Callithrix jacchus: one gene and its partner. The protein of the gene in region 1 interacts with the protein of each later gene in a pairwise test. Links are inferred from orthologs where the notes say so. Each region holds a gene or a part of one and is shown in the gene's direction. Other genes may lie near its edges.

Region 1 (3,675 bases):
GGAACAAAACACAAGATCCCTGCCCTCGCAGAGCTCACAGTCGCCTAGGGAAGACATACATTAAGCCAAGTAATTAGAAGGCCCTGAATGTTTACGAAGTGCAGCGTTATCAGGAGAGCCAGGAGCTGTGCAAACCATCAAGAACAAATCGGACACAGTGCCTGTTACAGCTGTGTGACCTGGAGCAAGTTAGGTTACAATCCTGGAATCACCGCGGCTTTGCACCGGGGCCACGACAGCAAGGCAGATTTGGTATCCAACTAGCCTGTAAACCCGGGAGGAGAGAGCGTTAGGTCCGCGAGAAGGAAAGACAGCCAACGAGTGAGAATCACTGGCCCAGCTGGAGACCGACCTGAGTTTCCTTTGTGTGCACCCGGGCCAAGCACTGGGAGCCGACAATTTGCTGAGAGCTGGCTCCACTAGCCTGGGGTGCAACCACGAGAGTGACAACCCTCTTGTGGGGTACAATTTTCCACGCCCAGACGCATCTCCATCGTGGGGAGGCACAGGGTGAAAGCTTAAGACCTGAATTAACGTCCAGCTCTGGTTGGCGCCAGCACTCCGGAAGCGAAATGCCAGGAGTACCCCAAGGTGGGCGGCGCGGGCGCCGACACCCGCACACGCAGTTGGGCTAAAACAATGAGCAACTGGGGAGGAAGCCGAGGGTGAAAGGATTCAGAAGTCGAGGCCCCACGCGGGAAGACAGCTAACACAGCGTTTGGCAACAGCACGCCTGCGCTGTCCGAGTCCCGCGGCGACACAGTCCGGAATAGAAGCGCGAGCCCACAAGGTGAGGGCGGGGGAGGGAACGCCGGAGACGCGGCCGAACACGTGAGATCGCAGAGAGCGTGCGCACGCGCAGAGCGCCCCGGGCCCGCGCGGCGGGAGCGCGGGAGCAGGGATGCTAGGCATTGAAAGGAGCCGCGCCTCGGTGAGCGCTCCCCCTCCCCTTTCTCCCGGGGTGCATTGCGCGCGCCCGGTGGGCGGGGGGAGGGGAGGGGAGGCGGCGGTGGCAGCCATGTTGTTGTGAGTCTCTGTGTCTCACCCTCGGTACTTCGGTGGTTCGGAGGAGGAGGGGGAGGAGAAGGAGGAGGTGGGGTGGGGGGGGAGGGTGGTAGGTGGAGAAAGAAGACATTGCCGCCACCGAAGGCGGAGGAGGGGGAGGACCGCCAAGAGCGACGCCGCCGTGTGCCCAACGGTCGGTGTCCCCGGCTGAGGCAGCGCGGCCGCAGCAGCCCCGTAAGTCATTCCGCGCTTGCTCTTTCTCCGGTCCTTTGGCGCCGCCGAGGCTGGCTCCCTGGGCTTTGTGGGGCGGCCTTAGCGGTAGCCGATCGCGGGTGGGAGGGCGGACGGGGCCTGCGGGGTTCCCCGGCCTGTGCGGCCTGGGGCCGGCTCGCACAATGCAGGGGGAGGGGCGCCGGAAGGGGGTGTGCGCACGCGGGGGAGGGGGCGCCGCGCCGGCCGCTTTCCCGCTTCCTTCCCTCCGGATCGCCGCAGCCACCGCCGCCTCGGGGGCATGGGGCGCGGACCCGGGTCTCCCTCCGATTCGGCGCGCTGGAGGTTAGAGACCGAGCTGTCGCCCTTGGGTTCGGAAAGTGGGGGAGAGGCCGGGTGGCCCCAGGGAAGCATGCGGATTGCAAGTGGGTGAAGAGGAAGGAGTGGGTTTATGAAAACAAGTGTGGGCATTTTCAAAGGCCCGAGTGTGTCCAGGAAAAGCTTGCCGTGGACAGACGCGGGTAGGAAGCCGTGACTGGCGTTCGCCTTGTTTAGGTTATGTTTTGTTCTAGGAACAGATTTCGATACTCAGAAAAATATGTAAATTAAAACCAAAGACAAGATCAGCGGCTTCTGCCGTTTGAGCAGTAGTTTTGTATCTGAGTTGGGTCACATTTTTGGGGAAAACATTTAAAGTTTTATGCCCAAACACGTGTAAAAGTTAGTGTTATTTGAGAACACAGCTAAAGAAAACCTACTTAGCTTTTCATTCTAACATGTAAACTTTTGGAGAGGGGAATGTATTGCCAACATATTAGGTGCAATAAGGCGTCATGTCAGGATTTGGTACTTGATTTTTACTTGAGAAAACTGGGGGGCAGATGTTTGGTGAAACTGTTGAAGGAAAACATGAGAAAAATGCTTGTAAATACTGAGAAGAAATGTAATACCTGTAAAGGTACTGTATGTCAAGAAAACAATTTTAATAAAGGGAGTTATGGAAGGATTTTAAAAGCTTGTTTAATGATTAGGTTTGGTGTTTAGTAGGTGACTCTTCATGTGACGTGGAGTATTGGAAGATGACTTTAAGGAATCCTGTAAAAAAATACAAAAATGAGTATTTTCAATTTGTTTCTATTCTTAGTCTTTTAAAAAATTATTTACTTCATTTGTTCAGTTATGAATAAATGATGGCATTTTCTGTGCTGCAAGAATTTCTTTAAAATTCTGATTTTTGGTGAAATTGCATTGTGTAAAATTTTCTTGGTGTCCATGTGGACAGTTTGTATGCAGAAAAGGTTTACGATAATCTTAAAAATAAAATTACATTTCAGAAACCTGTTTCTTGAGGATTTAACTCCAGCTTTTATTTTTTTTTTTTTTTTTTTTTGAGACGGAGTTTTGCTCGTTACCCAGGCTGGAGTGCAGTGGTGTGATCTCGGCTCACCGCAACCTCCACCTCCTGGGTTCAGGCAATTCTCCTGCCTCAGCCTCCCGAGTAGCTGGGATTACAGGCACGCACCACCATGCCCAACTAAGTTTTTGTATTTTTAGTAGAGATGGGGTTTCACCATGTTGACCAGGATGGTCTCAATCTCTTGACCTCATGATCCACCAGCCTCGGCCTCCCAAAGTGCTGGGATTACAGGCTTGAGCCACCGCGCCGACCTAACTCCAGCTTTTTAAATCTGTTTACAAGTCTAGCTGTTAGGAGTTACAGTTGCCATTAACAAATTTATGCATCTTCCAACAGTTTAAGCTGTGTTTAACACATGCTTTCCTTAACTTCATTTGTCTTGAGTCCAAAGTTTTCTTAGGTGTTTCAGTATTTAGCAAGATTTCAATTTCTAAAAAGAACATAAATTAAGCTGTCACTTTAGGCTAAATTCTCAGGCGTTACAAATACTGTATACAAATTACCAAATAATACTTGGATTTTGTTTCTCTTCAGCATTCCATACTTGTTTATAATTTTTTTTTTTTTTTTTTGAGACAGGGTCTGGCATGCCCAGGCTGGAGTGCAGGTGCTGAGATCCCTGCTCACTTTAGCCTCTGTGTCCCGGGCTCCAACTGTTCTTCCATCTAAGCCTCCTGAGTAACTGTCGCTGGGACTGAAGGTGCACACCACCACGCCCAGCTAATTTTTGCGTCTTTTGTGGAGACAGAGCCTCACTATGTTGCCTAGGCTGGTCTCTTATGTTGCCTAGGCCGAACTCCTGAGCACAAGCCATCCTCCCACCTCTGCCCAGATTGCAGAACCAGTAACCGGCTTGTTTGTAAACATTTCTGGTGTTGAAAGATAATTTGCTTATCTTAGGTAAATGTAATTATGACCAGAGGTTTGGGCCAGGTGTGAAATTCACAGCCAGTTTTCTCAGTGACCAAGCTGTCTCCTTTTTATAGATTCTCACACGATTTGCATAATTTTAAGTGGAGGTTGGTTCCTGTCTCCTGAACTCA
Region 2 (3,749 bases), on another chromosome or scaffold:
GTTGGACAAGTCATTGCTCTGGTTTTCAGTTTATTTTTGGTATTTAGAATTCCCCTTCTTTTCTTATCGTATTAGCTGCATATTGAAAATAAAATGTTATTTTTTTTTATCCCGCATTACTAGCTGTTAGTTATGGAAGTCCATTATTTTGCCAGCTCAAAAAGTAACATTTTACGGCTGTCAGTACACAAGTTAAGTTTGCGGATAAGGGTCATAGCCACTTAGCCCTGTAGGAAGGAGTGGTTCCCAAAGTTATGTGATTGGCTCCATCACCTGCCCCACAGGTCACTCCTGCTCTGGGCTCTTGCTCTGACCATGAGAATGTTCTAGAATTCTCCAGGAAGGCCTAGCTTCTCCCTGTAAGGCCTGGAAGGGGAATTCTCCCATAAAGATGTAGGATCCCTGAGCGAAGAGATATTCTTTTACTCTGTTCACTCCTGCATCTGCAGTACCTGGTAATCACAGGCAATTGGTAACTGTTTCCTGAAAGAACGAACATCCTGAATGTCAAACTGGCATTTCCTCCTATCCAACCCCTTCTATCTCAAACTTGACAGAAGGGAGTCCAAGTTTCTGGCCTGTGAATCTTCCGTTTTCCACAGACTTCCTTCTATTTATTTCTACAGGCATTTAAAAAGATTTTGAGATGGGTGTGAAGCTAACAGTGATTGGACTGACCCTGTGCCTTCGAGAAACCATTTTGAAACTACAGCCTAGACACATTAGATTATTATTTTTTAAAACTGTACCATATATTTCAGTAGGCATGCTTATTTCAACGGTTTTTAAGGGCATTTTGGAGGTGATGTGTGTGTCTGTGTGTCTGTTTGTTCATGTGAGGGCGGCGCCAACCTGGGACCAAGACACTGGCCCTACGCGCACACCCACACACGCCCTGCGTACCCTACGTACACGCACCGTGGGCGCCGTCACCCCCCCGCAGGCCCCCCCCCCGCAGGGAGGCGGGGGCGCTGCCACCCATTGGCTGAGGCGGATACCACGCGCCCCGATACCCGGCGCAGGAGCCACCTCCCCGCTCCCCACAAACCACGCCTCAGTCCGCCTGCGCTCCTCAGCCTGACGGACCGTCTTTCGGGGCTCCTCAGCTTTCTCACCTGCCTTTGGTTCCTTTGACCACTCGAAGCCGCGCAGCGGGTTCTAGCGGACCTCACAGCAACCCCAGAAGCGGTGCGTGAAGCACAGCCTCCAGTCCTCGAGCTAGTCGGAAACTACTGTCTGCCGCCATCATGGTGAGTTGAGGGGGAGGACTGAGGGGCAAGGTCGGCGGGGTTTTCAGCTGTGGGTGAAACCCGGCTTTGCGGAGGTGGAAAGCGAAGTCACCCCGGCTTTTTTGTTTAGGGGCCCCGCCGTCTGGACGCACCACGAGTGGTGGCCTGCAGGGTGGGGTGAGGCGGCATGGCGGCCGTGCGGCCTACACAGAGTGAGGCGCTGAGGTGGCGGGACGCCGAGAGTGGCGTGGTGGTGTGGGTCCTGAGGACGCCGCCCGCTGCTTCTCAGGCCATGTGCAAGGGCCCCGGCTTTAGTGTGGTACCTATTTCCCGCCTTGCCTGCCGAAGTTTAGGGTGCGGGTTCCCCACCCCCACACGTCCCTACCCCTCCCCCACCCCCTGCCCCTCCCCTGCCCCCACCCCGTGGCGGGCTCCATCCTGCCAGCCTTACTTCCGGTGGTCTCCGCGTGGCTTTTTGAAGATGGCGGCAGGCCTGCTGAGCGACTTGCCTCCTTGGACTCAGAAGGCGGGAGCTTCCTCAGGAAGTGGTTCCCTCCCGGTCTTTGTATGGGGTGGTGTGGGCGGGGTTTGTGGGGGCCTCAGCGTGGGGTATGGGGAGTCCTTAAAGCGCAGCCGCTAGCTGAGTGGAGCTGGGCTGGAAGTGCCTCTGGTCCCCTCGCGCCTTCCACCTGCTGGGGACTGGCTGATGATGGCTCCCTCGTCCAGCAGTGACAGGCACAACTCGCCTGACGCCATCTTTGTGGCACGAGGTGGCCCTCAGTTGCCATTGAGAATTTTAGAATTTTTGTACTCGGGGCACAGTTTTTTTCCTCTCTGCATAAACCAGGAATCTTTGACAAAATGTCCATTTGGGATGGTGTTAGGTATACGGTTCTATGAATTTCGTAAATGCCCTGCGTTGTTTCAGTGCCACCACGAGATGCAGCTCTGAATACACTGACCAACCACTGAGTCACCAACGCGTGTATTATATGCTGTGTGTTTGTCTGCATTGATAATTCTGTCTCATTTTTAGAGATAAAAGGAAATTTATACACAGTTTATATTAGCATGTATAAACATTAAAATAAAAATATAGTAATAAAAACAACTTATGTAATAATTGTGCAACATGTAGTTATACTAATACATCACCTTGAGTTATAAGTAACAATTTACAATACTTTTTTTGTAGGAGGTAAGGGAAGAAATGCTAATAGTTTCCTCGGGGTTTCTGATTATAAAAGCATGTTTACTCATTTGAAAACAATCACTGTAAGAAAATAGCAATCCATCTTAATCCCAACACTTAAAAACACAGTTAAATTTTGATACAGGTATGCCCTTCCAGATTATTATTATTATTATTTTTTTTGAGATGGAGTTTCGCTCTTGTTACTCAGGCTGGAGTGCAATGGCGCGATCTCGGCTCACCGCAACCTCCACCCCCTGGGTTCAGGCAATTCTCCTACCTCAGCCTCGTGAGTAGCTGGGATTACAGGCGCGCGCCACCGTGCCCAGCTAATTTTTTTGTAATTTTTAGTAGAGACGGGGTTTCACCATGTTGACCAGGATAGTCTCGATCTGTTGACCTCGTGATCCACCCGCCTCGGCCTCCCAAAGTGCTGGGATTACAGGCTTGAGCCACCGCGCCCGGCCCCAGATGATTTTTATGCAGGAATAGCATATAGATGGGCCACTTTTTACAAAAGTTGCTGCATAATACTGTTTTACAGCTTGCATCTTTCAATTAATGTCGGCATTATTCTGAAGGTAACTTTAACTTTCAATTTATCATGCTAAAAACTATACCTTTATTTTACCGAATTCCCTTATGATGAATAGTTTTTCAGTATTAAAACAATGCTATTGTGGCCTGGGTGCGGTGGCTCACACCAAAGTCATGGGAGGCTGAGGCCAGCGGATCTCTTGAAGTCAGGAGTTTGAGACCAGCCTGGCTAACATGGTGAAATTCTGCCTCTACTAAAACAAAAAAGCCGGCTGTGGTGGCGTGCACCTGTAATCCCAGCTACTCAGGAGGCTGAGGCAGGAGAATCACTTGAACTTGGTAAGCAAAGGTTGCCGTGAGCTGAGATGGTGCCACTGCACGCAGTCCAGCCTAGAGACTCAGTCTAAAAAAAAATGCTGTGAATATCCTAGTATGTATCTTGGCACACTTGTACTATTCCTTGAGATGAATTGCTGTAAGTGGAATTGCTGGGTGAAAGCTCTTTGCCCCTTTTATAACAATTTTAAATTATGCTCCTTGTTAGTATGGTGGTGAGTATCCCCGCCTATCCAGTTTTGATAACACCTTTTCCAACCTACTCTTGGGTAAAGCGTCTATCAGTATTTTCCCACTGTTGGCATATGTTCCCACTCTTTTCCACACATTTTCCAATAAAAGGTATTAGGATTTTAAAAATTGTTAACCTAATAGCTGGAAAATATTTCAGTATATTGTGCACTTTTTAAAATCATAAAGTTGATCATCGATCATTAGCTTTTAAAATGTCCTTT

The links.
Region 2: the proteins of PUM2 (region 1) and DAZL interact in a two-hybrid assay, tested with the Homo sapiens proteins (2 studies listed by BioGRID and IntAct). The link is inferred for Callithrix jacchus from reciprocal best matches to the Homo sapiens genes PUM2 and DAZL.

The regions. Positions count from the first base shown.
Region 1 is NC_133515.1:94,857,358-94,861,032, forward strand, and holds the start of PUM2 (pumilio homolog 2), read left to right. Parts: upstream 1-858; 5' UTR 859-931; intron 932-985; exon of another isoform or gene 986-1,239; intron 1,240-1,463; exon of another isoform or gene 1,464-1,560; intron 1,561-3,675. UniProt on the Homo sapiens protein: Sequence-specific RNA-binding protein that acts as a post-transcriptional repressor by binding the 3'-UTR of mRNA targets.
Region 2 is NC_133518.1:55,391,343-55,395,091, reverse strand, and holds the start of DAZL (deleted in azoospermia-like), read left to right. Parts: upstream 1-1,042; 5' UTR 1,043-1,247; coding exon 1,248-1,250; intron 1,251-3,749. UniProt on the Homo sapiens protein: RNA-binding protein, which is essential for gametogenesis in both males and females. Plays a central role during spermatogenesis.